Neurospora crassa OR74A: one gene and its partners. The protein of the gene in region 1 interacts with the protein of each later gene in a biochemical or structural test. Links are inferred from orthologs where the notes say so. Each region holds a gene or a part of one and is shown in the gene's direction. Other genes may lie near its edges.

Region 1 (10,255 bases):
GCGGGCGGATGGATTGCGTGATGTGGCCTGCGTTGCCGTGGAAGTAGAGCACCAGCCTCGCTTCGGGGTCGTCGCGCAGGAGTCTGAAGTTGACGGTGGTGGTGATGTCTGGCACATACCCGCCGCCGTTGGAAGAGCGGTCTTGGGCGGCTAGGGCGGATTCATGCCGGGCGTAGAGGCCCAGGGGGAGGATGTGCCAGGCGTAAAGGGTTTGGGAGTCGAGGGTGTGAAGGGGGAAGGGGGTTACTTGGTTTTCTTTTTTTCGGGTGTTTGATTAGTTCTACTTGTTACCTTGGTAGTCACGTAACGATCTTTTTTTGTTTGTTAAGGATTACTGACTTGCAAATCCCCATCGTTCGGGACGGTTGGGGTTATGTGGTGGCCACCAGAGGGTGTTGATTTTGTGTGAATATACGGCACTTACCGAAGAAAGATGGGGGACGGTTCGGTTAGCACATTGTGTTTACATTTCTGATTTATGAGATGATGGTTCTGGTAGTATTTTTTCTACGGAAATATGAATTTTCTTACAATCGTTGAATATACGGAATCGAAACAAGACCGAGAAAAAGAGCGTATATCCCGACGGGGACACCGACGGCGAGGGCCGGAACGAGGTAGGCCGCCGAAGACGTCATGATCCCTTGTCATACATGTGAACGAAGGAGACTAGAATGGGATTGTTGCTGGATGTATTTATGTGTGTGTTTTGTTGCTATTATGGACTTGGTAAATGAAAACGCTTTTAATCCATCGTAAAGAGCGAGAGACTCTAAATTCAAGCCGCTTTGTATAGTTTTGTTGCCTTGTTGGTAGCAAAGTTGGAATGGAATGTTGGTTCCAAGATTCGCCAGAGGAAGAGCTGACGTTGGATGGCAAAGCGGGACTCGGGTTGGGCCCAGTTAGAAGCAGGATCACCGAGGTTAGGGTTATCCGTGTAGCTCTCACCCAATCCTGCCGTCGCACTGCTAAGGAGCATAATACACTGGGTCCAGGGCGCTTGAGGCTTAATCGCCGTCCCACCCATTGCACAGTCAGCCGCAATTCCCGTGTTGGGCTTACTCACTATCAGCGTCTATCAAGCGTTGCCCGCCAATGGCTTTCCACTCATCCATCTCGGCATGTTCTGTCGCATGAGCATGGATGCGCAACACGCATTTTCTCTGAATGTCAATGACGAGATGATATGGTCATACGTTTTGAAGCTTGGGTAGACCGGTCCTCATGTCTTTTCCTCAAATTTAATCAGACACGGCGGAGACACGAGGTGCAGCACCTGCCCGACGAAGGAAAGCTGGACGACCAAGGGTAAATAAACTTGGAGGGGACCTCATTCGACCCCGAACCAATCACAAGGCCGCCAGCCTTTTATTACCCTATCCAGGATCAGTGTCCGCGTCGTCTCCCGTTTGCTAGGTAGTGTACGTAGCTAGGTACCTCTAGAATTGAGGATGGTAGGCCGATGGTACATAGTGTAGTGTAGTGTAGAGTAGTGTAGAGCGGAGGACAGGCCGGCCATTCGGACCATTTACCTACACTAGGCGGAGAGGGGGAAGGGAGTGCGTGCTCATTCCCTTCCCGTCACAGGCACATGAGAGAGAGGAGACGGGCGGGACTGGAACGAGCCCCATCCTATTATTTCTTCCACTTCCGTCTTATCCATCTCTTCACTGTACATACACTCCATCCTTCACCTTCACAACGAACTCTCATTACGGCTGAGTCGCAACACGCTCACTCGTCCACCACCACCACCACCACCACCACCACCACCACCTCCACCACCACCCACACGTCCACACACGCAGCCGCGATCGTCGTCATCTCCATATTTGGACACCCATCCCCGTCACGTCGGACACGTTCCCTCCTTTTTTGCTTCTTATTCAACCGACACCTCCCATTTGGCACCTATCTCTTTTTGTTCATAATCCCATTTTTCTCCTTCGCGATTGATACCCCCCCCCTCTACCTCCCAAGACACACGTCATTTTACGCCCTTGATACCACATCCAATATTCACCTTCCCTCGACATTCGCGATTGTCTAGGTCCCGATGCCGATTGCGTAGTGCACCACTCTCACTTCCACATCACGACGAGAAACGTACCGTACCGTACCGTACCGTACCGTACCGGGTCGGGTCGCGTGCGTGAAGCCATGACTACGGAAAAGAAGCGCAAGCTACCTCCTCGTGCCGCGGCGAGGTCTGAGCAGGCCGCCAAGCGAAGACAAACCGACACGCCTCCGACCTCGAGAAAGTCTTCCACCCCAGCGCCCGCGCCCCAAAAGGAGCCCGAGCCAGAGCCCACTGTGGAGGAGCCACCCAAGCAGACATTGCCCAGCTCCGTCACAGCAGGGAAGCCGCTTCCTACCGTCGAGGAACCGCAGCCGGAAGACCTTTCGACCAAGGACTATCAGACTCTGCAAGAAAGGTGTGCAGCCCTCTTCAAACCCCCGCGCGTTCATGCGCTTTGGCTGAATCTAACATGACCACTTCGCAGCGGCGTTCTCCACGAGTCCTTTGTCCGATCGCGTAACCAATGGATGACCGAGCAAATATTCGAAAAGTACTGGACGAAGCCGATAAAGAAGAGGGGTGCCGTCATCGAGGAACCCAACAATCCTCCCAAGGACAGCATGGTCAAGCTGGGCCAGGTGACAATCACGGTTGAGCCACATGTCTTCGAGGCGACAATGTTCGCAGTCAAGGACCCCAACCCCCCTCCGCCAAAACCGCCAACCGAGAAGCGACCGATCCTCGAATACGGACCTCCGAATGGGGTCATGCCGCCTCCTCCTACACCCAAGCCCAAGTCAGTGGCGGCCTCAACCTCGTCAACACCTACGCCAGCTGCATCAGACGCCAAGAAACCGACCACAACAGAGGCAGATCCAAAGGTCACCTCTCAGACAACACAACAAGCGGAGGCCAAGCCTCAAACACCAGGCAAGCTAGCAGTACACCCGACGTCACAGACACAGCCGACCAAACAACCATCCGCGCAAAGTGCTCCTAGTCCAGCTGCTGCGGCCCCATCCACGCTCGCGAAGCCCGCTGGAACGCCTAGAGGCATCGAATCACTTCTTTCACCATCTCCGTCCTTGGCGGCTCCGCGGGCCCCAACCACAGCACCAGCTGCTGGTGCGCAACCACCCCGACCAGTGCCCGTCCCACCAACCGTTCCACCAAGTGCTGCGACTCCGGCCACCCCCTCAATACCATCTGGTGTCCCCCCCAGACCAGCAACAGGGGCTCCAGCAGCTCCAGCAGCTCCTGCCACGCCAAGAACCACTGCCAATGGCGCCGCACCAGCCAAGCCAGCTGCGGGGGCAGATCCAATCATTCTCATGCTAGCCGAGAAGGCTGGCGAAGACCCCCAACTCCGAGATCTCATGAAGCGGGTGGCCCAGGGAGAGGCCTCCAAGCAGGAACTCGAGCGATTCCAGGGTATCATTGACGCCATCACGTCAGAGAGCAAACGGCAAAGCAACATTCCGGCGCCACCAGCTGCAGATAAGTTGTTTGTCGATGGAAAAACGGTCCAGTACTTTGCGGATGAGGTAGCTGCAATACTTGACATTGTTCTAGCATCCAACCCTAAGCAAAAATCATCTACTTTACAGCCGCCCAAAGACAGCGATGCTCTCCTGGTCTCGTTAGTAAAGATGGCCCTGGACGATGAAAAGACGAAGGAAATGGTCCGGCGTATAGCCCACAATAAGCCTCAACCCACCGATGCCACGGATCTTAAGGCGATTCTGGACCTCGCGCATTCTAACCTTGTCACTAAAAAGACTCAACAGCAACGACGCCAATCAACGGTTTCGGCAGCGGGATCTTCGAAACAAACCAACGGCGCGAGCAATGGGACTGATGGCGGTACAGGAACGACCTCACAGGCCAACGCTGCTGAGGAGAAGAAGACGACGGAGAAGGCCGAAAAGGCCACAAAGGAGAAAGGAGAGAAAGCCGACAAGTCATCGGCCCAACAGGCGCTTCGTTCAAAGGGCCCCCCGCCGCCGCCCAAACAACCTGATTATTCGGCCATCGTATTCGAGTTTGCGGGAGGAAACGGTGATCGGTACCTCTTTCCGAAGTTCAGCATTCTGGATTATCAGACTATTCCCAGTAGCAGCGCTAGCAGTACCCAAGGACAGCAACAACAACAACAGCAGCAACAGCAGGTGGTGGCGTCATTCCTTATCATCAGGAGGGGAAGCAAAGCAGTATATCCGATGGCGGACCCGGAGCTTGATTACTACCAGCCCATAACTATAAGGTTGTTTACGGCGGCTCCCAGTGGCAAACATGTGCTGGATAATTTGGCAAGAGTAGTGGCGCCGGAGGAAGAGGTCAAGAGGTACATGGACGATATCATGGATACCATGCAACGAAGCGAATACGTTCTACTGGCCATGAGGCTGCCCAGACCCACCGAGACGGCAGAGAACGGCGAAGGAGAAGGAGATAAGGCGCAGGACGGGGCCGGCGCGGCCGGGTCTGGAAAGGGACAACACGCGAAGGAGAAAGACAAGGACAAGGAGGTGGTGATGATTGATGCTCCATCAAGAGCGGAGGAAGCGGCGGCGGCGGAACTGAAAGCGCCAAAGGCGGCAAGGACGGGGGGAGTGTTGTGGACGACGGCAAACAAGCAGATACCCAAGCCGGAGATTAGGGAGCTTCCACCGAGGCGGAATGCTAGAATCATGATGGAGACCGCGGAAGATGAGCAGTATCAGAGCTTCATTCAGACGGTCACCCGGAAGGATAAGGAGGTGGTCAGGTGATTGTTTTTTTCCTGGAGGAGCGCTGTATCATGTAGATAGTTTTGTCTGTCTGTCTCTGCCAGGAGTTGACTTTTACTTGGCCGTGTTTACTAGGTATGAAAGGTTGCCTAGTAATGGTGTTGACAAGGGCAAACGAAAGGGAGGTTATCACGGTGCAGCGCTCTCTTCTACATACTCTATCAGCTGAAAGTACTTGTACTTCAGCCACGTGCGCAAATGAATAGACGATGAGGTATCTCTACCTACCTAGGTACCCGTCCTGGACTGCAAGGTCCTGGTCGAATGTAACCTGAACAAAAGGAACCTCTTGCCGGCCGGAGACCTGACCTTGGCCGCGAATAGCCTAGCGGCTTATTCCAGTGCTTGGCAGCAGCAGCAGCACACTCCCCTGCCGTCCAGTGTCCTCAACCAACCGGGGGTGGAGGTGTGACCGTCCGTGCTTCCAAGTCCACCCACTCACTGTCCAGTTGTGGGCCGTGCAGCTCTCTTTCCGCCTCACGACCCGCGGTGCTGCTGCTGCAAGTCTGCAACTGAACACTCACAGCGAGTCGACGCCTCAAAAGTCGGTCCATTTCCCACCACATCATCCATCGGCTCGAGGCCAGCCAATCTTCCTTTTCTCACCTACAAATATAATCCCACATCTCGCGACCTACGGCCATCTCTCCCTTCCTCTCTCCTTTTCCATCTCTCGCCCACACCTCGACACAACGCGCGACCGCCGGTAGTACGACTGTACGACACCCCTGTCGCTCGCCGCTCTCTTTCAGATAAATTATTCAGAATGGCGTCAAACAGCTGGCAGTTCGCCGGCGCCGACGACGAGTCCGACGATGACAACTTCAACCCCGCCCCCGCCGACATGTCGGACGAGGAGAACAACGACAACGACGAAGAGACCACGCACAACCACCGCCCCGCTGGTAAGACCGTGAGGCAGGCTAGTAGCCCGGTACCAGACGAAGAAGAGGAAGAGGAGGAACATGACGAAGAGGAAGACGCGCGCCCGGCCAAGCGATCGCGTCGAGATCACCACGACGATGACGAGGATGAAGAGCAAGATGAAGAGGAGAACGAGGAGATAGATGAGGAGGAAGAGGAGGACGAAGAGGAAGAGGAAGATGAGGAAGACGAGGATGATGTTCATGGTGTAAGTCCGGATCCCAATAATGTCCCTCCACACTTCAATTCTGCAGCACCATCCCATCCACACTTGCCAGAAAAAAACAACAAAAGACAAGTCCCGGTGCAGATGACCCGCCAAACCTACCCGTGTCGCCACATCGGGGACCTAGCTAACCCGCTGTCTTTTGTCCGCAGGGCAATCGTCGCAAGCGTCGCAACAAGGACCGTAGAGCTGCCTTCTTCGATATCGAAGCCGAAGTTGACGACGAAGACGAGGGAGAAGACGAAGTCGGCGACGGTGAAGAGATAGAGGACTTCATCGACAATGCCCACCCTGACGATATTGCCGACAGCGGCCGCCTTAACGATGACAGAAGACACCGCGAGCTCGACCGCCGCCGAGAGATGGAGGCCAGCCTCGACGCTGAGAAACAGGCAGAGATCCTGCGTGAGCGCTACGGCAAGCGCGCCCCGGCTAGAGGTTACGGAGACATGGCCATTGTGCCCCGTCGCTTGCTTCTTCCCAGTGTCGAGGACCCCAGCATTTGGGCCGTCAGGTGTAAAGAAGGAAAGGAGCGTGAGGTCATCTTCTCGATTATGCGTCGTATCGAAGAGCGAATGGGCACCAAGAACGAGGTCCCCATCACGGCTGCTTTCGAACGTGGTGGTATCAACTCGGTCATGAAGGGATACATCTACGTTGAGGCTCAAAGACAGAACGATATTCTCGTGGCTCTCGATGGCATTCTCAACGTTTATCCCAGGAGCAACATGCACCTCGTCGAGATCAAGGACATGCCCGACCTCCTGCGTGTCATCAAGACGCCTAACCTGGAGCCCGGCGCTTGGGTTCGTCTCAAGAAGCCGGCCAAGCACGCCGGTGATCTTGCTCAGGTTATCGACGTTACAGAAAACGGCCTCGAGGCCAGAGTCCGTTTCATTCCCAGACTCGACTACGGTGTCAGGGATGACCCCGTCTTCCAGGCCGATGGCAAGCGCAAGCGCCCCGGTGTGCCCGGCCCTCGTCCTCCCCAGCGTCTGTTCAGTGAAGCCGAGGCGCGCAAGAGACACCCCCGTTACCTCCAGGGGAACCCGCAGACCAACAGCTGGAACTACAACGGCGATGATTTCGAGAACGGTTTCCAGGTGAAAGACATCAAGATCCAGCAGCTCGAGGTCAAGAATGTCAACCCTACGTTGGAGGAGGTTACCAAGTTCGCCAGTGGAGCCGAGGACGGTACAGAGAACCTCGATCTTAAGGCTCTTGCTGCTACTCTCAAGGATAGCGCTAAGAGTGTTGCGTACGTCCCTGGTGATATTATCGAGGTGTATGAGGGCGAGCAGCAGGGTGTCATCGGCAAGGCCACCAATGTTCAAGGCGACATCGTCACATTGCAGGTTACCGAGGGTGATCTTGCTGGCCGGACCATCGACGTCCCCAACAAGGGTCTGCGCAAGAGGTTCAGGATTGGTGACCACGTCAAGGTCATTGGTGGCAGCCGGTTCCGTGACGAAGTTGGTATGGTTGTCAAGATCGTGGACGACAGAGTCACCCTCCTCACAGACCAGACCAACACGGAGATCACCGTGTTCAGCAAAGACCTCCGTGAGGCATCTGATATTGGTGGCCAAGGCTCTCTTGGACAGTACTCCCTCTTGGATCTTGTGCAGTTGGATGCCACGACTGTCGGCTGCATCGTTAAGGTTGATCGCGAGTCAGTCGTGGTGCTAGACCAGAACGGCGATACCAAACAGGTCCAGCCGTCGCAAATCACCAACAAGCTCCCCAAGAGGAAGTTCGCTGTGGCTGCTGACCGCAACGGCTCCGAAATCAGGCTGGACGACGTGGTCCGTGAATATGGTGGCCAGCAACGCCAGGGCAAGATCATTCACATTCATCGCTCTTACATTTTCCTTCACACCACGACCACCAACGAGAATGCTGGTGTTTTCGTCACTCGGGCTAACAGCGTCACCACGGTCGCGGCCAAGGGTGGTCGCAACACTGCTACTGCGGGCCCAGATCTCAGTGCGATGAACCCAGCCCTGAAGCGGAACCCCACTGCTAGCGGCAAGCAAATGCCAGCTCCGCGAACCTTCGGACCTGATCGGGCCATTAACCAAACCGTGGTTATTAGACGCGGTGGTTACAAGGGCTTGCTCGGAATCGTCAAGGACACAACGGACACTCATGCTCGTGTGGAGCTGCACTCTAGGGGAAAGATTATCACCATTCCCAAGGCTGATTTGAGCTTCAAGGACAAGGTCACTGGCAAGACCATTGACATCAACCAGCGCGGTGGCAGCCGTGGTGGCTTTGGTGGAGGAGGACGTGGTGGCGGCGAGTTTGGAAGCAGGACCCCTATGGCTTCGGGCGGATCGGATCGTACACCGGCTTGGGGCTCTTCTCGATGTAAGTTTTCTGTTGTCATGTTTTATCATCACTATTTGCCTGAAGCTAACATTGTCACTAGCCACAGCCCGTACCCCTGCCTGGAACCGCGACGCTGGCGGCTCGCGTACACCGGCCTGGAACGACGGCTCCCGTACCGTCAATCCCTACGACGGCAGCCGCACTCCTTACGGTGGTGCTACCGCCTACGGTGGCATCGGATCCCGCACTCCGGCGTGGCACTCGGGTTCTCGCACCCCCGCCCCCGACAGCTTCGGCCACGGCTCCAAAACACCAGCCTGGTCGGCCGGCTCCGACAGCTGGGGCTCCAAAACGCCCGGTTACGGTGCCTCTGCTCCTACGCCTGGGGCTAGCGGCGATGCCTGGGGCTACACGCCCGGCGCTTCAGGCGGCGGTAACTCATCCTCAGCTTACGATGCGCCCACGCCCGGTGGCGGTCTAAGCGCGCCCACTCCCGGCGCGGCACTCAACGCTCCTACACCTGGGGCGTACTCGGCTCCGACGCCGGCTGCTGTCAGCGCGCCCACTCCTGGGGCCTGGCAGGGTGGCTGGGGAAGTGGCGGTGATGCTGTAAGTGCGCCGACACCGGGTGCCCTGGGTGCCCCTACGCCGGGAGCACCGGGCTATGCGGATGATGATTAGAGACCAAATTCCGTGATGAGTCCTAGGGTGTAGGAGGATGTGATTTAAGCTTTCACGTTTGTTGTCCGGCGTCTAGATTTTTTGTACGTTAGTTGGGGTCTTCTGGGTGTCAGTCATTTGCAAGACGGAAAAGTCAGGAGCGCAAGGGATCCAGTGGAAAATGAGGATACAAAGGAAGCATGACATGGGTATGATGCAGTGCAAATGGAAGCAAATCGAGGAATAAATTAGCGGAAAAGGCGGTTTCCTCAGCTTGGTGTTTGTTCTTCCGTGACTTGAGCAGGATATTCATCGCTTAAGCATCAGCCTTGTCTGAGATACCCTTGATGTCTTCACACGTTGTCCGTCCCTCGCTGTCTACTACTCCTACGTAATTTCTTGGGCTCAAATATCTATGCATGGAATGATCGAGACCCATCCTATGAAGTATAATTCTTTTACTTTCTCTTATAAAGTCGAGGCAGTTAAATTGCTGGAACGTCGAAATGTGTCCATGTTCTTTGTTACTTTGATGATGATGAATGCTGAATCAGGGGTTAGGGTTAGCGTACCGTTTGCCGCCGCCAAGCACAGACCTGTGTTGTTCTCCCTCGCAGCTTCATCCGTGCATCGACATCCATCTCCACTCTCCAACATCAACACCACACACAAAGCTGGAGAGAATCCAATTGTCAGCCCACAACACTCGCGACTTATTTGATTCCTTGACTTCCTGTTCCTTTTTCTTTCAATCTCTTACTTCAGCTGCCATGAAGCCATGGGGTCCAGTCAGCAATTGGCCGGGGCCTGAAAGAGAGACAGACAAGTTGTCCCCTTCGGTCACAGTCCACTGACTGATGTGAGGACGACGACGTTCCCGTCGCAACGAGAACTCGACACAATGATGGCTTTGTTCTCTCCCCTTGCCGACGGATTGGTCAAGTGTCGATTGCCCATTCCGGAGCAAACAAAACACGCTGGGTTGTCAATGCTTGGTTCGAGCTGCCAGCCTGTTTCTTTGTCTCCCAGCTTCACAATGTTCGCATGCAGCAACTCCAGCTCTCCCTCGAAGGTTCCCGTCCTTGACTTTGGACAAAGAAGATTACCTCTAGCTAAAGCATGACCCACAGAAACCACCAGCAGTACAGCTTACCCTTCAATGGGCCACCCACTTCCACTAACGCAAACGCAAACGCAAACACCTTTACTTGTATTCGAAGGGGGCCAAAGGAAGCAAGCGGAAGAATAATGCCCTCGTTTGTCTCTTTGTCCGATGTGATGCCTTGAAATGGTTGTTTACCCCCT
Region 2 (10,524 bases), on another chromosome or scaffold:
CCATCAGCTGGGACTTCAAGATGTTCATCTTTACCCTGGGCATCATGTATTTCGTTCTGGCTTGGGTTGGCGAGCACGTCATGTTCCAACGGCTTGCGCGCTTGATTGGAAAGGTCAGCCAGTCGTTGACCAGGGAGCCCAAGAAGAGGAAGGAGTATAAGGTCATTTTGGAGAGGATGATCTGCTAATTGAGGGATGTCGTCTCTTTCCCACTTTGACACCTTGTATATACGAACGTAGGCCTGGATGGCGCCGAGGCGTTTCAGGCATGGATGGAGAGTGTCTTCGCCTCCCCCCCTCCCCAGTGAGTTTTCAGGCTACAAGCAAGCGTATTTAGCAAAGATTCGACTATATCCGCGTTCACCTTGTAATCACGGCCCTGATCATACCCTATCCGAAGCGTTCCTGTTTTTGGAGGATCTCCTACCCAATACCGTCTGCTCATCTTTGTTTTATCTCAGCTTTTTGTGACCTCGAGTCTAGACCCATCCCAAGCCATCCCATCTCAACTCTTCATAATCATGTGTTGAGTGCTTGCCTCTAATGTAAAGCCGACGCATTCCCCGCCCCGGGAAAGAACATGATGAGACACGTTAACACCCTCAACTCTTACTATTCCCGTTCCAAACGACGCGTTTTGCGGCCGCGATTGCTGGGCGGTAGTACCTCGTGCTTTCATCGCACCTTCCGTTGAAAGGAAGCCACAAGCGGTCAACTCAGAAGACTGGAAGGCGTTACTCACCGCACTTGTCCATCGAGTCTATCAAGAACTCAGTCCTTGAGCAGTTCTGCCTCGTTCTTTCTGATTTTCTCCAGCAACACACTCGAGCACCCACAACAAGATCCTATAGAAACCTCGTTGCCCCCAAAAGAAAAAAAAGGAAGGAAAAAATACTCGCGGTTATGTCTTTGCCATAGCAGCAACTACCACCCACTCGTTCTTTTAGCTCGTCGCACACACACCTAGAGGATATCTCCCACTCACGCTTCACTCTCCTTCTGGGACACGTCCACCGTCAAGCGTTCACACGGACTGTAGCATCCTGTTCAACACCAACGTTCAAATAAGCATCAGACGAGATGTTCCCCTTTATCAGTGAGTACATGTTGACAATCTGCTCACCACACATATGTGAACTTGGGAGATCCGGTCTGACATGAGGTCCTGTAGGCAAGCTTCTCGACAACCTCAATGACACTTGGTGCGACAGTATCCTGGACAGCGGTGTCCTCCCGCATGCTGTCCTTCGCGTGCTCATCCGCAGGGAGCTGCGCCGTCGCCTCGATGAGATCACTCCTCCCTTTCCGGACAAGGTCATCGCCACAGTGTCTGCCAAGGGCAATCCCAGCCTGAAAGCCAAACTCGAAGAAATGGCTTCGCCCAAGATTGCTCTTCTCCCGGGCGTCCTTGCTCCCATCTCGCGCTGGTCCGAGACTCTGGCGTACAAGATGAACTTCTTCGAGACTGTTCGCCATCAGCCCATCGCTATCGAGACGGACGCCGCAAACAGACAAAACTACGAGATCGCCACAGGAATCATGGCGAACATGCTTGGTCCCAGGATCAAGTATAGCTGCTCATATTACCCCACCGGCAATGAGTCATTGGGAGAGGCCGAGGAGAAGATGCTTGATCTCTACATCGAGAGGCTGGGTTTGGAGGCTGGCATGAGGTTCCTGGATCTTGGGTCAGTTCACTATCACTCATGAGAATCGGACTAAACATTGCACGCATGAGTTGCAAACACATAGAAGAAAGAGCCTAACCCAGTCATAGATGCGGTTGGGGAGCTGCCGTCTTGTACTTCGCCGAGAAGATCCCAGGCATGGAGGTCGTCGGCTTCTCCAATTCGCGCACTCAGAAGGAGTACATCGACGCTAGGGCATACGAGTTGGGCCTGATGAACCTTCGGATCATCACTGGAAATTGTACCGACTATGAATTTGAACGCGACTATTTCGACCGGGCGTTGTCCGTCGAGGTGAGCAATTACTTGGGGTTTTCTCCGAGACACTTTTAAGAAGTAGTCATTGACATGAGAGCCCTAAAGCTGTTCGAGCACATGAAGAATTACGAAGGTCTGATGGCCAAGATGTCGAGAGCCCTTCGTCCCGGTGGCCAGCTTCTCGTCCACCACTTCTGCCACCGTACGACGCCGTACCATTACGAGGATGGATGGATGGCACGCACCTTCTTCACTGGAGGAACCATGCCCTCATCAGATCTCCTTCTGTACTTCCAGAAGGACCTGGTCATCAAGAAGCACTGGTGGATCAATGGATACCACTACTCGAAGTCTCTCGAGGTAAGAATACCGACTCGAACCCCTCGATGCTTTGAAAGAGCGTAACATGTACATTTGGATCCGAGACAGGGGCTAACACATAAAACTCCCACACAGCATTGGCTCGAGAACACCATGGCCAGAAGGGAGAGGATGATGCCGCACCTGGTAAAGACATACGGCGAGGAAAAGGCCGTCGTTTGGCATAACCGTTGGCAGATCTTCCACCTGGCCAGCTCGGAAATGTTCAAGACGGACGGAGGCGACACGTGGGGGGTCACCCATGCTTTGTTCGAAAAGCCAGATATGGAAATGCAGGTGTTCGGCTTGCAAGCCGTTTGAAGCCAGAACTTGAGAGTGTGTAAAGGTCAACATGGTCAGAAGTTCCCATGAATGATTGGCGAAGGTTAGTTAGCATGGCGTACATAGAGATCACACTTCATATCTTTCCCCTTTATATAGTTATTTCATTCAAGATGCGCCTGACTGTTGTTCTGACGCGATTTGCGGCCTGTCTTCAGACCTGATGAATGATGACTGATGATGACGCCCTTCTGTTATACGGGCCGATACCTGTTCTGTTGGTCCAGTTCCCATGCCAGTCAATGATGTTCTGTTCCAGCCACCATGTCGCTTCGTAGAAGTCTTAACGCAGTCCTTATGGCCACTTCCACGTCGTTGAAGATTCGCGTCGATACCATTCCTTCAGTGATCCCAAGGGTGCTTCAAGCCGAGGAGAACGGCCCCGTCCTTCTTTGCCCGGTACATGATCTGGTAAACGCATAGGGCGAGCACGAGTCAGTTACTTGTCCGGGATACGCAGGATTCGTGATGACAAGGAAGTTTACCCAGAACCACATCGATGCACCAAGGCCAATGCTCAGGAACTGGTAGATGGGTTTGCTGTGGTTGGGAGGCACGCGGTACCACCATTTCCCTTGCAACCTCTGGTGCAGCGTGCGCGGCTGGAACTCGGGCCCGTGAGGGTAGTTATCGGGGCGAGGGACTCGCTCGAATTCTCCATCGCCTGCCATTGTGTGGAATATGCAGTAGCCCTTTTTTTCCCGAGGACAATTTGGTGTTTGTTAGTTATTCAATTGCGCATTCACACAGACATGATCCAGGTGGGTTGGTGGTGGTGGTGGAGCTCTCACCTTGTGGTTCTGACCGGAGGGCGTGGGTTTTGCGACGATGGGGGGAGACCGGAGATGGAGTCGTCCGTCCTTTGGGATCCTGACCACCTCGGGCTACCACTGGAGGATGCGTGGTTGTTAGTAGTAGCGAGGTACCTTTTTGAGGATCTCAATCATTGGTTGCCTGAATTCTGAGGCTACAGATTTTGCTGTCACTTGTGGAAGGGATAAAGGGTACGAAGGTACAAGCGATGAGTTGGAGACGTCATGGTCTGCATAGACGTACCTACCGGTAGGTTGCCTGCCCATCGGCTTTTTATCGATGAAGTGACGGGAGGTTCCCGTCGCTTGGAAGGCGCGCTAGGTACGGGCGGGTAGAACTTGCCCTGTGGAAGCTTCGTTGGGAGGTACCTCTACCGCTACGGTTACGGCCTGGGTTTGGGGTAAGGTACTTTCCGCTGTGGGCTCGTGCATTGTACACCCCGACACGCTAAACATGGACCCGATACGGGGGCCGGCCTGCCACTTCTAGGGTAGATGTAGAGCGCGCCTCCAGTCTTGTGAAGGCGACGGGGCATTTTGTTCCCTTCCAGCCGAATATCCATTATCACAAAGTCCAAGAATGAAAACCAGAGGTGAACCCCCAAACACCAACCGGCAAATTCGCATGTCGCTTCATGTCTTTGCTTTACACCTGACAGCACAAACTGCCAGGTAACTCACCAACAGCCGGCAGATACAGGGCAACCGACGCCTGCGCAAAGCGACAGAGGATTCCTTCCATCCTCCTGTTTCCCTTCTGCTTTCGCAACTGGAAAATCAAACGCCGACGATATCCATAACCAAAGCCAAACAACGTCCCGCAGCTTCCAACACAACACTGGCCTCTGGCCCCTCGGTTTTAAGCAAGTGTCGCCAAAAAGATTTTATACAAATAAGAGGAGGAGTGCTACACGATGAGCATCGACGAGGCAAAGGAGGGCGGCGGAGGCCCTGCCATGTCTCCTCGCGCTTTTGCGCTTGCGCACCAGAGGGACAGGGGCAGCTTCGTGGGCTGCTCTAGGATTGCCGACTATGAAGTCCTGGGTAAACTGGGCGAGGGTACCTTTGGGTATGTGTTCATCGTGTGTTTCCCCAGAGCAATCGTTGCGATTATTGACACTATCCTGCTCAGCGAGGTTCACCGCGCGAGGTCGAGGAAAACGGGCGCCTTGGTCGCACTCAAGAAGATCATCATGCACAACGAGAGAGATGGGGTTCGTCACCGTGCTTGCCCTTCGATTCGGTCTTGGTTTCGACGGTCCCTAACGTTGACTTGCCCATCAGTTCCCCATCACCGCTCTTCGAGAAATCAAGTTGCTCAAGCTTCTCTCGCACAAAAACGTCTTGCGCCTAGAGGAGATGGCGATTGAGCATCCACCCAGAAGTAGGTCAACCTGCCATGAGCTACAATGACGATGGCCCTTACTAAAGTAAACACCGTCATCAGCCGACAAGCGAACAAGACCTATCGTATACATGGTCACACCCTACATGGACCACGATTTATCCGGCTTGCTCGATAACCCGTCAGTTCGCTTCACTGAACCACAAGTTAAATGTTACTTGCTGCAGTTGCTAGAAGGTCTCAAGTATCTGCACGCGAACCACATTCTGCACAGAGATATGAAGGCGGCCAATCTTCTCATCAACAACAAGGGTGTACTACAGATTGCCGACTTTGGTCTAGCGAGGCATTACGAGGGCGACATTCCCCAACCCGGGAAGGGAAGCGGCGAGGGGAAGCGTGACTACACTAGCTTGGTGGTGACCAGATGGTACCGCCCTCCCGAGCTTCTGATGCATCTCAAAAGGTACACCACAGCAATAGATATGTGGGGTGTTGGGTAAGACTAGACATGTTCCCTAGATGCGCTCTCTTTCATGCTAACAACCATTACAGATGCGTATTCGCAGAGATGCTGGAAGGAAAGCCAGTCCTACAGGGCGAGAGCGATCTTCACCAGTTAGAGCTTGTTTGGGACCTCTGCGGAACACCATCTGAGGAGACGATGCCGGGATGGAGGACGTTACCCGGTGGCCAGGCATTCTCGTCAAAGCCTAGGCCAGGAAATCTGGCACGCAGATTTGAGAAGCACGGACCCGTGGTTATTTCGCTGCTTAAGGAGCTGTTCAAGCTTGACTGGAGGTCACGCATCAACGCGATTGATGCTCTCAACCACCCATATTTCCGGACTGCGCCACTACCAGCTCTACCTGGCGATTTACCAACGTTCGAGGAGAGTCACGAATTCGACAGGCGCAAGTTTCAAGACAGGAAAGCGGCATTGCCGCCTGCGCCTAAGGGAGGCACGGTGGGCCGCGGGGCTGTTGTTAACAGCCAAGGCCCAGATACCGGATTTAGCGGTAGGGATGGTTACGGCGGTGGTGGTCGTAATGGGGCAAACGGCGGCAGATACCCGCCATACCACCGTGGTCCCCCACCAGGCGACGAGCGAGTTCCCTCGTGGCATAGTGCACGGGGATTGCCTCCACGACCTCCGATGCCCGCAGACTACCATGGCAGCGGGCCGATGGACCACACCGATGGGTACCGTGACCGTCCACCACGTAGAGGTCCCGGCGGACCGCCCGGAGGGGGAGGTGGTCCGAGCAACGTAGACACTTACATCCCCAGCTACGACCGCGACGGACCCGCGCCGCGCCGAGAGGACTGGCGCCGCCGTGATGACTGGGATGACAGGCGAGGTGGAGTGGACCGGGATAGAAGACGGCCAGAATATGACGTTAGGAGCCGGGACAGCAGGACGAGGAGCCGAACACGCAGCAGATCCCCGGTCCGTGACCGCGATCGAGGTCGGGACCGCGATGCATATGCGCGAAGATAGAGTTCTTCGCCTGGTGTAGAAAGCTCTGATAGTTGCCATGCCGAGAACCATAGGAGTAACTCGGAGGAAGAAGAGTGCAGTACATCTGATGGGTATGATGGTGATAGGCCCAACGGGGATGAGGGGGACAATAGTAATAAGCCTGATAGGGGTGAGCGGGACAATACCTCTCAATCTGAAGAAGGGTATTCCGAATCACCTCTATGGGTGTGACAGCGATATGCCGACTTGGGTTTTTAGTAAGAGTTGTGGACCTAGCGGAGATGATGGAACGACACCGAGACGACCAGAATAGGTCCTAGAGGACATGTGATAAATAGCGCTCGTGCTGCTAGAAGCGGAACTGCAAAAAGCGTTACAATCAAGGAGGGAGAATGCAGGCTGTCCTCGAGGCCACGAGAGTTGGGGTGCAAAGTAGGCCGTTCGAGAAGCCGTAGTGGGGATTAGGATCGCCAAAAAGCAATAGCAATGCGTGCATGCCTTGAATAAAGATGGTGTTAGCCTGGTGGGAGTTTGAGGCGATTCACTGTGATGGCGATCACGATGAACGAGCGTCAGAAGGTCGGGGATAGAAGAGCATGTGGATGATGTTTGGTTGACCTATAACACCCTCTCCCCTATCTCTGTCTAGCTTGTTTATTTGATAGGCATTTGGGGGAGTGGAAAGCTCAGTACAGACTGCCCAGACGACAAGTGTGGTTATCAGCGATATGCGTGTATCGAGGTGGGTCCCTAATTGGTACATCGATACAATAGAATCTCGTGTAAAAGCAGATAGACGTATGCAAACATCATCGCAGCATGTCTTATCCTGGATGCAGCTAGCTAGGATGTTTCTGACCTTTGAAAAGGAATGATTCGAGATGTCTAATGTGGTGATTGGAATTCCAACATGTGGAAGGGTAATGTCGAAATGATCAGATGTTGTAGTTCAGATGAAATGCAGCAAGTTCGAAACATTCATTTCGGATCGCAAACGGCTCGCGACTGAAAATCTTCCACTTACAACTTCACAGAATCTATCATCCTTCAGTTACTACTGGCTATGCAAACTCCAAAGCAGTCACTTCAATCTCAACTCTGATCACATCTCATCGATACCAGCGTTCAAAACGTTGATATTCCATTCGCATACAAAAAGAAAGACAAAAAGAAAGACAAAAATAACAGAGAAAAAACGAATGCTAAAGCAAAGCAACACCAATCTCAAATCACCAAACTTAACCGAATCTACTACCTTCCCAAACACAACCTTCACCACTACCACCACTACCAAAACAACCGAAATGTCAACAGAAATGGATATCGACCCTCCCACCACCAACATCACCATCACTACCAAGCCCACCAAATCATCAAAATCCCAGACCCTCACTCAAACAACCATCCGCTCCCCCGTCTTCTCCTACGCCCACCTCTCTTTGGTTTCTCCCTTCCCATCCTCTTCCTCCTCCTCCCAAAACACCCCCTCCCTCGACGACCTAACCGCCCGGCACTACCTCACCACCGCCCTCCGCCAATTCCTCGGCGACACCGGCGCCTCGCTGGCCATCGACATGTTGCTAGTCAAGGGCACCGAATGCTGGGTTCGCGTGCCTAGGGAGGATTTGGCGGCTTTTGCGGCGGCGGTCACTGCTTACCCGGGCCATAATGTGGGAGGGGAAGAACAGATGTTGATGAGGGTGGTGGGGTGTGGGGATTGGTTGGGGGCGTTGGTGGGGAGGGAGGGGGAAGCGAGAGTTTGGGGGTGAAGCTTGAGAATGGGGCATGAGGTGTGAGACTTCGTTGGGAGGGATTATTTCAGTTGTCTTGGGAGAAGGAGGGCCGTTCTGTCCAGGAGTTGGGAAGAGAGGATTGCAGTGAATGGGAAGAGCTCCTGGGCTGGACGGCTAGGAGAGTTCTGTGGCAGGAAGAGGTCGAGGCTGAGTACTTACCAGACTGTAGCTACGGCAGCTTCAGGAAAGGGAAAATGTGAGGAAGATGGAGGGAGATGACTGTATACTCGTCCTGTTTCAACGGCTATCTCTGTGGAGAAAGAATTGGCTTAAATCGGTACAGCCCTCGCGGCGAATGTTCTGGGTCAGCGACTGTACACGAGGTTCCAAGAGCGTCATACGGACTACTTACTACAATTTCTGTGCGCCGTACGTAATTGTGATGGTCCCCTATGAGAAGACAGAAGACTTGGCTTTTACGCAAAGGTCGCGATTTCATGCAGACGGAGTTATGAAAGAGGCAACATCGAGATTGTCGATTGGCAGACTAGAAGATATCACCACTATGGAATCCAAATAACACCAGAAGGAATATATATCATCAAGACAAGAAGAAGAAGAACCCTAACACCATAACCCCGATACTCCTGCGCGCGACGCCTAATCACATGCAATCGAAAGCCAAAACAGAACCATTCTCCTTGCAAAACATGCCCGATCTACACAGCATCCCGAGGTATTCACGCCGTTTTATTTTCTGTGGTGCTATACAAATACATCCAACTTTTACATCAGCGACGACATGACGGAGCTTTGCGCATATGCCTAGGAAAAAGGATTAGTTTCGGTACGGTGGCGACAGTCATAGAGATCAAGAAGACTCACCATGGGCTTTATATTGGGATGCGGCACGGCATCGAACTGCGAGAACTTCAACTTGTAATCGGGACCAATGTTGATGTAAGCGCCCTTGTTCTCCGTCATGTCGCAGTACTTGGGCGCCGAGAAGACGGTGATGCACTTTCCGTCGTGCTCCTCCTCGTAACCGTCCATGCGAACCTCGTGACTGCGGATGATGGCCTCCAAACCGTTCTTGTCGCAGAAACGCTTGGTAACGTCGGGACCGAACTGCATGCCAACACCGCGCTTGCTGGGGCCGCGACCAGGGAACGGCTGAGGATCTGTCCAGAGCATCTCCATCATGAGGCCAGCCTGACCGGGCTGCTTCTGCTTGTGACGGTCGAGCTTGCGGATGTCGTCGAGCGTGACGTTGTCGTCCGAGAAGAGACCGCCGTGGAGGACGAGGAACTTCTTGCCAATCAACGTGGCGAGCGGGAGGGCCGAGAAACTTTCCGAAAAGAGCTTGTAGGTTCTGGGAAGAAGGTGAGATGTGTCAGCTGGTGTGTGCTCGAAAATTCAGGATGTCGCATAATGGGCGCAAAGAGTTCGACTCGCTTACCTCTCATTGTACTTGTGCTTGCACTCGCCCTCGAAGCCATACACCCTGTTCATGTCGTCTGTCTCGTGGTTTCCGCGGTTGATGAAGAAGCCGTTTGGCCTTAACCACTTGTAGGCATAAAGGAGGAGGGCAATTTCGGTCGACCAGGAACCTCTGTCAACGAAGTCGCCGTTAAACAAGTAGTAGTGCTTATCGCTAGGGAAACCGTTCAACCTGAAGAGCTCCATCAGATCGAAATATTGGCCTATTCACAATTTGTCAGTAACCATCAGCTCGGAGGGGGCCATGCAAGGGCAAACCAACCGTGGGTATCACCGCAAACTGTCAACTGCACATCCTCAGGGATGTCCACCTCAACCATGGTGGGCTCGTTATATACAATGTTCCTGACGGCGATAATGATTTGGTAAACGTATTTCTTGTGGATCAGTTTGCCGCGCTTGAAGCGCTCAATCATGTCGTCGATAAACTCCTGTGTCATCTCATTCCCTTCAAGGCGCACGCCGTCGTAAGAAGCATCCACTGCCATGGACTCGACATCGAGGCCCTCAGCAGCAGACAGCTCATCCCCGACTTCGATAGCGGCAAAGAAGGCGAGCTGGCGCACAATCTTCTCGCACTCGACAAGCTTGAGCTTGGCATCCTTGTTATCGGGGGCAATCTTGACGCAAGTCTTGAAATCCTTGACGGCTTCCTTGGGGTTCAGGATGGCGGCGTAGGCGGTAGCGCGACGGTAGTAGGCCTAGACAGAAGGGAGGGGTTCGGATTAGCTACTGCTTGCATTTGCGACTTGTCTCCAGAGAGATTGATAAGACTGCGGCAATGTCAGCCAGGAAGGGCTTGGACGTACCTTGACGAAGCCCGGGTTGAGCTCAATGGCTTTTGTGGCATCGCGAATAGCATATCCGTATGCTTCTGTTTTGAGATGGGCCTATGCGACGGAGCAGAAAATCGCGGTTAGTTGTCACGCGACCACTTCAAAAAAGCGCGACTGTCGGGGAGGCGACGTAGGCGACGGGGGCAGCGGCACGAACCTGGGCTCTG
Region 3 (9,359 bases), on another chromosome or scaffold:
CGGTACCGGACATATCAAGCCCACATCAGACGGGTTGTGCGAGACAAAAAGATGGCCAAAGCAGCATTCTGAAGTCAGACGAACGAGGAAAACACACCTCAAGAGGGAATATGGGTATCTCCATCCCCATAGACTTGGGGCGGTGCTGAATTCACGGCCTCCAATCCGGCCCAGACGGCCCCGTGAGCTCGAAAGCTTGCAAGAACCGAACAAGAAGCAGCCCGGCCATGTTCTGCCGAAGAAATGGCAGGCAAAGGATGGTGAAGACAAGGAAGAAGTCGGCTGGGCTGTTGAAAGAGGCAGGTCTGGCCGTGCGGTTGGGAGGTTTGGGTTTGGCGGCAACGAGGTGAGGTGTTGGGTGATACAGGCTCGGAGGATGGAAGATGGTTGGACGGCTGCGGACTCTCGCTTGGCTGGGAGAATTGATTCTCGGTGCAGTGGGGTCCCGTGCAGAGAGCCCCAAGCCCAGGCTCGGCAGACCCCGAACTGCTCGGAGCCTTTTTGCACTTCCACAGAGCAAGTCAAATCACGTAAGCTCATCTGCACATATTTGTTGCAATGGAACTGTTGGATCAGCTCATGGCGAAAAAGCTAGAAATAATCAAACTTCTAGTGTCTTTTACACAACTCATGCATCCATGGTCACAGTTTGCGCCGTTGCGGCTATATGTGGATAGAAATCGTTGCTACTACTAGCGCACGAGCCACGCTACGTGCCTGCCTTACATAACATTGCATTGCGCATCCAAAGCAACATAAAGGTCCCACTCGACTGTGCACAAGCGGCTGCGGGGACCCACATTTCATTGAACCCCTCATCGACTCCATGGAAGGCTCTGACGAAATCCCATTGCTGATTCCCATGGCGAGGCCGTTCCCTTGTTTTGAGAAGAACAACGGGCGAGAATGGCTTTAAAGCATCGTTACAAGTAGTGAACATGTCGACCGGTTTTAGGAGACGGGATACCGGCCCGCTGGGGGAATAAGTATGTACATCCTCTTTCATCTCGATCTCGAGTTTCGTCACCTTGATCACTACGGCGCGCCTAGCCTAGGTATTCACAGACGCGACGAAATTTTCCCCACTCTAAAAAGGTGCCCCTCCATTATCACTTTCTCCATCTGACATCTGGCATTGGATGTGGCACTGACAACATCCATCCATCCATCCTATTCAGTACGCGACGCGACGCCTATCAACAACCAAAGGATATCAAGGTCCTCGATAAACATCCCCAACGAAATATCCTTGCGAGTTATCTGATACGAAGCAACCGGCTCCCGATTCACCAAGTAACCGAAACCCTCTCCCTCCCTCGCTCTATCCAACAAAGCCCCAACAGCCAACAATGCCCGACGCCAAAGGCCGCCGCATCGCTCTCGGATGCGAAGGCTCCGCCAACAAGCTCGGCATCGGCATCATTGCGCACGACCCCATCACCGGCGAAGCCCTTGTCCTGTCCAACGTGCGCGACACCTTCGTCTCTCCTCCCGGCACCGGTTTCCTTCCCAAGGACACAGCCCGACACCACCGTGCCTACTTTGTGCGTGTAGCCAAGAAGGCGCTCGCCTTGTCGGGGGTCTCCATCTCGGAAATCGACTGCATCTGCTACACCAAGGGGCCCGGGATGGGCGGGCCCCTAACGTCGGTGGCCGTGGGCGCCCGCACACTCGCGCTGCTGTGGGGTAAAGAATTGGTGGGCGTGAACCACTGTGTCGGGCATATCGAGATGGGGCGGGCGATAACGGGGGCGTCGAACCCGGTGGTGCTGTACGTGAGCGGGGGTAATACGCAGGTGATTGCGTACGCGGAGCAGCGGTACCGTATCTTTGGCGAGACGCTGGATATTGCAGTGGGTAATTGCCTGGACCGGTTCGCGCGCACGCTGGAGATCAGCAACGACCCGGCGCCCGGGTACAATATTGAGCAGCTGGCCAAGCAAGGTGGGCGAGTCTTGTTGGACTTGCCGTATGCGGTCAAGGGAATGGATTGCTCGTTCAGCGGAATCCTGGGGCGGGCAGATGACTTGGCGGCGCAGATGAAGGCGGGCGAGCCGGGCCCCGACGGCGAACCGTTTACACCCGCAGATCTGTGCTTCAGCTTGCAGGAAACGGTATTTGCCATGCTTGTCGAGATCACCGAGCGGGCTATGGCGCACGTCGGTAGCAACCAGGTTCTTATTGTTGGCGGTGTCGGTTGCAACGAGCGGCTACAGGAGATGATGGGCGCGATGGCAGCGGAGCGAGGCGGAAGTGTCTACGCCACCGACGAGCGGTTCTGCATCGACAACGGCATCATGATTGCTCATGCTGGTCTATTGGCCTACGAGACGGGCTTCCGGACGCCGCTTGATGAAAGCACATGTACACAACGCTTCAGAACCGACGAAGTCTTCGTCAAGTGGAGGGACTAATGACAAGGAAGGAAACGAAGACGAAGATGACCATTACGACGATACCCCCAAATCCCATAACCTTTACTCTATCCACGGCAGCCACTCTATATGCGCCTCTTGTTGTCCCTTAGTGCCCCCTTAATGGAGCAGGATGCCCATGGACAGTTTGCCGACAACAATTTGCGCCCGCTTCCATAAAGTGTCCTCGTCATCGCTACAGCGTCCTATAGACATTACTTGTAGACATATCTAGAATAGGTCATACTGGGCGGTTCATCATGCACCGCTATTCTACTCATGACTTGCGCTGTTCGTCTAGTAGTGGTAGCCACCAGCCAACTGTACCCAGCTCTGACTACTAGCATTCCAAACTCAGATGCCCTCTGTCGTTGTTGGCTTGTACATGATTGTCGTCACATACTGTACAGTCCGTTAGCATCAACGACTACGTGCAAAAAGATGCAGCTACGAAATACGGGGAGACGAACCTTGTTCTTGTATCTCGTCGTGGCCGACACAGCCAGAATATTATTCTTAATACTGCTAGTAGCTAGATGGTTAAGAACGGTATGGTTGGGCATGTTCAGAACGCTGTTGTCATCCTTGATCAAGGTGGCCGCGTTGAGGATGGGCTTGCCGAGGAAGCCAGGAAGCGCAGGCGGCGTTGGGAGTTTCTCGATGGCGTTGACAGCACTCAGGTAAGGTGGACTTTCCTCGGGTGCGTCGAAGTCGAGTAGATATTGCGGGATCTTGTTCTCGAACAGCTCCGCCGGAGGGACAGGTCGGTCCCTAGGTGCCTTGCTTTCCTCCGTCTCGGACGCGGAGGTTTTGGGCTCCGTAGGTTGCTGGGAATCCTTGGCGGCGCTTGCAGCAGCTGCCTGGGCAGCGGTGCGCCCCACATCATCAGGGCTGACCTCGATGTAGTTGACCAGGTTGTTGCCAAAGTCTACCGTGGTCGGCAAGTCTGGCGAGGTCTGCATTTGCCCGTCAACCAGAAAGCGAACGTGATGTGTGCCCGGCAGGATATTGATAATAGCAGCGAATACACCCGGTCGGCCCTCACTGTTGGCGAGTAGCGGTGTCAGCAAGGCCCCATCCGTATTGAGAGCGAAAGTGGCCGGGATGTAGAAAGTACTTACACCGGGTGTAATCGTGTCTTCCTGTTCCATTGGAAGATGGTGCCTGTCACGTAAACCTTCTCGCCGCCACGGAGCCATTCGAGCCTGGTGGGGACAGTCGGTCTAGTCTTGTCCACCCGTAGCTCCTCCGTGTCTTCTTCGTCCAGAGTTGAGCTGTTACTCAAGTTGGAAGAGCGTCTGGTGAGCGCGGTGAAAGTGTCGGCATCCTCGAGTGGGACCCCAATGTCGGTCGGGGCAATGATAGGCGATCCGGGTGTGTGGACCTCTTCCTCGATCGGCAGAGGTAGTCGCGGCGGCCTGGTCAGGTACGAGACATCTTGCAGACTGCTCAGCTGCATAGCCGCAGTCTCAAAGGCATCCGATCTCTCTGATAGCGGTGATCGCACCGGCGACCTAGGTGAGCACGACGAGGCGTGGCAGGGTGTGGGCACGGCTACAGGTTTCGCGGGCTCATGACTGTCTTCGGGTCTCAGCTGTCTTACTTCGACAGGTTTGGTGGGGGTGGCAGAGCTGGTAGGCACCGACGAGCCCGGCGAGCCGCTCTGAGAAGGTGGCATTCGCGAGTGCAGCGACTTGGGACGAGCGGTGGTTGAGGGCGGCTGGACGGCGGTGCCCTGGGCCTGGGTCAAGGAGGGCTCAGGAGGGGCAGCGACTCGCTGATTTGGGACCGGTATAGGGTGCTTGGTATCGCGCTTCACTGCTCTGGCAGAGTCATTTTGGATGGAAGCCAGCGACTGGTGCTGAGACTGCGATTGAGAGGAGGAGGAGGAGGATTGCGGATTCGGGGTCTTGGAGTCTCTGGAGGTGGAGGGGTTGTTCCCCATTTTCCCTAGCTCGATCGCTGGCGCTGATGACGGGATGGGGTCGCCGTGGTGGTCGGGTCGGTCGAACGGGGTCGTCACAGGTGGTTCGCTGCTACCGCGGTCTGCTGCTGTTACTGCTACACCTGTTCAACAATGCGTCCACCGGGTGCAATCAATTCATCTTCCACTCTCCGGGGTAATTGGCCGAGTTCGGATAGAAGGTGGTTTGACAGTCGAGGGGCTTTGCATGCTACGCCAGCGCTGGTCGTGGCTGTGGTTGTGTGGTTTTTGGGAATTCGAACGACGTTGTCAGGTGTCGTGTCGTAATAGAGTTGGAGCAGGCAATATCGCAGCAAACTGGAAGATGTGATGATTCGAGTCGTGTCGAATCGAGGATGCGCGAAACAAGTGGAAGAAGTGGAAGTCGAGAGAATGACGGGTAGGTAGAGAGCTCAGTTCAGTTATCAGAGTATCACTGCAGCAGTTGACTGTCCTCCCTTGGGCCAAAAAGCACAGCTGCCATCCACCTGGTTGCTCGATAAGAAGCGGGCGACCACTGGCAACTGAATGGAACTCGGATGCAACGCCCCGGACTCGGCGAACAGAGTTGAACTGTGGATGAGTGTGAGACGGCGCCCAGCCCAACTGCACGGCAGTGTCTCCACTGTCCACCTCCAGGCATCGGCCCCAGCTTCCACTTCGGCCCCCACCTTTCCCACATTCTCTCCTGCTTCTCTAGCTCCTGGACCGTGCGCCCCTTGCATGTCAACTCCTGGCCCGCTGTGAGACCTGGAGCTTGCGCTGGCGCGACGCGGCAGGCAAGAGAGGCGGCCGATCTTCTTTCCAGAGAACAACTTATCGATGTTCACATGCATTCCTCTAAAGAACATCACCCTCCTTCGTCAAGTGTCCTTTTCCAGTTATTCATTCACTCGCTCAGCTATTCGTAGACGAGTGAGTTATCGGTTTCCGCCCCCAAAGTTACCAGTAACATCGCCATCCCTACACATCTCCCAAAAATGTCGGAGAACTACGTTGCCCCCGGCCAGCAGCGCTACCTTCGTGCCTGCATGGTCTGCTCTATCGTCATGACCTATGCTGTAAGTCGAGCTGCCCTTCCTCGTTTCTAGTCACTCTATGACCGACAAGTTTCTGACCTTTTTTGTTTTTGTCATAGCGCTTCCGTGACGAAGGATGCCCCAACTGCGAAGACTTCCTCCATCTCCAGGGCTCGCCGGATCAGATCGACAGCTGCACGTCGCAAGTCTTTGAAGGAATCATCACCATTGCCAACCCGCAGAAGTCGTGGGTGGCGAAGTGGCAGAGGCTGGACGGTTATGTGAAGGGTGTATACGCGACCAAGGTGTCGGGCCAGTTGCCGGATGACGTGCGCACCACGTTGGAGGATGACGGCATTCAGTATATCCCGTAAGTTTCCTGCTTACACTCGTGTGGTCTGGCGAAGCAGGCTATGATCGTGGGGTTTTCGGGGCACAGCCAGAAACTAACTTGGAGCAGGCGCGATGGCAGTGCGACGGAAGCGGACTAGAAACTCGAAGCTGCGGTGCAAGAAAACAAGACGGAATAGGGCGGATAAGAAAGCAGGAAAGAGAACCGACAAGCAAGAAGGAAGAGGGACCGATAATAGATCGTTCACAGACAACCCAGGAGCGGAATGCGGAATGCCTGTTAAAGGGAAGGCAACAGGAGTTCAAGGCGTTAAGGCTGGTTTAAAGGGCGTGGTCTAGACAGCAGGATAGTGGCCATTTTTTGGGTTTTGCATGATCAACCCAGGGCTATAATTACACACTGCAGCGAAATACAACAATCATACAAATGAGTTTATCACTACCTAACCTATATGGAAGATTATTCATCCAGCTACGGATCCCTTTTACGAAAACCCCAATGCAATATGGTATCTTTTTTTTAAACATTTCCCATCACGCCGAAAACGCCCCTATAACATGTACCGAAATATTGCCAAACCCGGAGATAGCATAACCTTTGACCAGTTACCCACGTGAGACTCCACAGTATGTTAAAACTGGAAGCGTGGCTTCTTGTTGGGAAAGTTCCCACCCTTCTCCTCGCGAGCCCTCTTGCGCTCCAACTCCTCCTTCATTATCCTCTCGGCCTCGCTCATCTTCTTGGGCGGAGCAGCCATAACCTTCTTGGGAGCCCCAGCAAACGCATTCTTGAAGACGTTCTTCGGTTGGGGCTTCATGCCGAACTTCATAGATACCGGCTTCGTGGCGGGAGCAGCGGCAGCAGCAGGACCAGCAGGACCAGCAGTCGAGTCAACCGCGGGTTTGCTTTCCTCTGCCGTCGTCTTGGCAGTGGCCTCTTCGCCCTTTGAACTTGCTTCCACCTTTGCTTGCTCAGAGCTTACACCGTCCGTCGTCGTCTTCGTTATTGTCGAAGGTGGCGTCACGGTATCCTTCTTCTCCTCCGCAGCAGGAGGAACCGATCCGTCCCCAGCACCCGGTGTTGGCATTGCCGCCGCCGATGTCGAACCCTTCTCACCCTCACCCGACCCCGACCCGGGCTCCTCTTTCTTTGTTGTGGCCGATTTTCCAAAACTCAACTTAATCTTCTCCCCCTCCCTCCTCTTCAACTCCTTCCTCTCCTCCTCCTCCGCATCAAAGCTAACCCCCCTCGCCTCGGCATCCTTTTGCGCTCTCTTAATTTGCTCCCTCAAAGCCCTTTGCTCCCTCTCCTCATCCCCCTTATCCATCATCTCCTTCCTCCTGACCTTCTCCCTCCTCTCCATCGCCTCGGGAGAATCATCAATCCACGCCACAAACAACCCCTCCCCCTCCTTCTCCTCCACCCTACACAACCCTTCCCTGCCCAAAAACTTTGCAAACTCTGTGAGGGAATGCCACTTGGTCGCGTTGAGATGCACGTGGTCCTTGCGCGCAATCACCTCCTGGTAAAATTTATTGATGTGGATCTCCTTCTCGCCATGGCTGGTCTTCAGCTGCGCGATGAAATCCTTGAGGAACTGGTCGGAAAAGGTGTCTTGCACGCCCTTGAAGTTGGCGCCCGCCTCGAGCGCTTTGGCCGTGTGCGAGGGCGACTGGCAGTGCATCTTGTACCCGTTCTCGTCGCGGCAGGATTTCTCGCACAGTTGGCAGTACCAGCGCAGCCGGTTGAGGCCGCGGGATTTCATCTTGTTGGCCAGATATTTGGCGGAGCCGACTTCTGCTTTGGGCATCGTGAATGGGTAATTACGGACTCCGCTGCGCGCGAGTCGGGGCGGGTGGGGGAGGTGATTGGTTGTATGTGTTTTGTTTTCGGAGGGTGTCGCTCGGTACAGTACAGGACGATGCGGCGGATGACGGTTTGGAAGTTGCGTTGGGTCAAGATTAACTATGTGACGGAGATGGTGAGTGAGTAGTGTTGGATGACTTGGAGCAAAAATCGTGGTGTTTCGCTCTTCGACCACCTTGCGTTGTTGTTGGAAAGTTGATGTTCTGCAACGGGTAAAGGTTCGAGTGTAGGCCCCGATTGCCAGCCGCCACACAAATGTTACATGCCGAATGCCAAGCATTTGAAGCGATCAACCAACAACCCTAACCCAGACATGCTTCCCATTTGGTCGAGGATCACCCCTTTTCGCTTTGTTTACACAAAGGAATCTGATTCCCAACGGGGTATTTTTGATGCTACGGATGACACTGTGCCTCGGAAATTGTGTTTCGGCCGCTTACGGAGAGGTCTGCCATACAACGGACTTGGTCTGCGCTGTGATAGAGTATATGCCCGGCTTGCTCGAGGTTTACACTTTTCTGTACTCTTCGACGACGTCTTTTTTCTTTTTTCCTCTTTTTTTATTGGTTTTCTCTCGGACACTCCGGTTGACCAGGATCGCGATCCCCACTTTCACCTTTATGCAAAGGTATTTCTGGTTATCAATTGGTGCTATGCTTATCGTTCACTCTCTCGGTTACAATGACTGAGTTTCCTCGCACATTCGTACCTTCTTACGACCACGCTTCTTCATTTCTTGTAACGGATCCATCAACTGTCGACGATCTTTCAGCAGTATTTACACAGTTACAGTTATGTTGACAGCAAACTACAGCTGACATATGATGAGTATCCAAAAACAACAGCCACCCCATCAAACCGAGATTTCCCGCATTCACCCAAAAGCAAAAAGACATCAAACGCAAAAAAGCCACAAAAAAAGACACCATCGGTCGAAACGGACGCGTTTGGGTATCAAATTGACAAAAACAAAAGAAGGCAATGAGTATATACAAGAAAAACCAGAACATGATTGTACCGTAAGTGAAATGACATATTGATGTCGTATGAAGACCAAAGGCGATCGCTCTGTAACTCCAAAAACCGCCAGATAGAAGAGAAGTTGCGCTCAAACTCTCATGTTGAAAATGGCATGGTTTCTGATTCTCGGACGATGGTTATATGTCCCGTGTAATATAGAATGCCGTGGGTCCAAATAAAGCGTATTAATCGGCATGGATAACAACAAAAGGCTGATATACGTACTGCATAGTAGTATATAGGCGATGATGTCATAATGCAAGATCGGCATCCGGGATTCGAAGTTGTTCGTGCTGCTCGGTGACTGACGCATTGAGCCAGGTTTCTGGAAGGTTCAGTCTGTTGGCATATCCCTGCGATGGCACGGTGCTTGATCGTGCCTGGCTCCAGTGGTGATGAGCATCCTCAACGGCTTTCTCTCTGACATCTGGACTTGGGTCCTCCTTCCAGAGCGCTGCCGACAGGGTGGAAAGTAACCAATGCCGAGTTCTCTCGCTCATATCATCCCTGGCGGAGCTGTGACTGGTGCCTGGGCTTCTATTTGCTCGATCCTGGGTGTTCCCTGCGAGCCAGAATTCGATGTTCCGTGACCCTTGCTTCGTAGAGTATTATTCGACCCCAAACCGCGCTTCATCATTTTCCCGAGGACTGTGACGAGCTCACACGCATCGTTAAACATGTCGTTGTCGATGCCTTCCGTCGCCTCATACACCTCCGAGATGGTT

What was found.
Region 2: of the proteins of NCU06929 (region 1) and stk-1, one has a biochemical effect on the other in vitro, tested with the Saccharomyces cerevisiae proteins (2 studies listed by BioGRID). The link is inferred for Neurospora crassa OR74A from reciprocal best matches to the Saccharomyces cerevisiae genes SPT5 and SGV1.
Region 3: the proteins of NCU06929 (region 1) and NCU03838 form a complex in vitro, tested with the Saccharomyces cerevisiae proteins (4 studies listed by BioGRID, with this or other methods). The link is inferred for Neurospora crassa OR74A from reciprocal best matches to the Saccharomyces cerevisiae genes SPT5 and SPT4.

What each region holds. Positions count from the first base shown.
Region 1 is NC_026507.1:789,476-799,730, forward strand, and holds NCU06929 (transcription elongation factor spt-5), read left to right. Parts: upstream 1-5,270; 5' UTR 5,271-5,575; coding exon 5,576-5,941; intron 5,942-6,111; coding exon 6,112-8,329; intron 8,330-8,390; coding exon 8,391-8,971; 3' UTR 8,972-9,387; downstream 9,388-10,255. Other genes in the region: NCU06927 (abhydrolase domain containing 12), read right to left, coding at 1-255, 340-419, 532-638; NCU06928 (hypothetical protein), read left to right, coding at 2,161-2,435, 2,505-4,791. UniProt on the Saccharomyces cerevisiae protein: The SPT4-SPT5 complex mediates both activation and inhibition of transcription elongation, and plays a role in pre-mRNA processing.
Region 2 is NC_026505.1:4,754,904-4,765,427, forward strand, and holds stk-1 (serine/threonine-protein kinase bur-1), read left to right. Parts: upstream 1-3,995; 5' UTR 3,996-4,374; coding exon 4,375-4,529; intron 4,530-4,592; coding exon 4,593-4,674; intron 4,675-4,744; coding exon 4,745-4,844; intron 4,845-4,907; coding exon 4,908-5,304; intron 5,305-5,360; coding exon 5,361-6,306; 3' UTR 6,307-6,871; downstream 6,872-10,524. Other genes in the region: NCU10143 (ATPase type 13A2), read left to right, coding at 1-188; NCU10144 (SAM-dependent methyltransferase), read left to right, coding at 1,081-1,096, 1,172-1,688, 1,778-1,982, 2,052-2,306, 2,403-2,627; NCU01436 (questionable protein, variant), read right to left, coding at 2,991-3,056, 3,134-3,319; NCU01434 (hypothetical protein), read left to right, coding at 7,488-8,057; ppt-1 (serine/threonine-protein phosphatase 5), read right to left, coding at 8,808-8,846, 8,907-9,393, 9,481-9,724, 9,784-10,222, 10,331-10,411, 10,515-10,524. UniProt on the Saccharomyces cerevisiae protein: Serine/threonine-protein kinase component of the BUR kinase complex involved in transcription regulation.
Region 3 is NC_026505.1:2,568,202-2,577,560, forward strand, and holds NCU03838 (transcription elongation factor spt-4), read left to right. Parts: upstream 1-5,014; 5' UTR 5,015-5,357; coding exon 5,358-5,438; intron 5,439-5,515; coding exon 5,516-5,766; intron 5,767-5,856; coding exon 5,857-5,887; 3' UTR 5,888-6,207; downstream 6,208-9,359. Other genes in the region: NCU03835 (hypothetical protein), read left to right, coding at 30-346, 439-530, 614-677; NCU03836 (O-sialoglycoprotein endopeptidase, variant), read left to right, coding at 1,350-2,414; NCU03837 (Snf1 kinase complex beta-subunit Gal83), read right to left, coding at 2,769-2,816, 2,885-3,458, 3,536-4,359; NCU03839 (APF1), read right to left, coding at 6,380-7,558; NCU03840 (hypothetical protein), read right to left, coding at 9,131-9,359.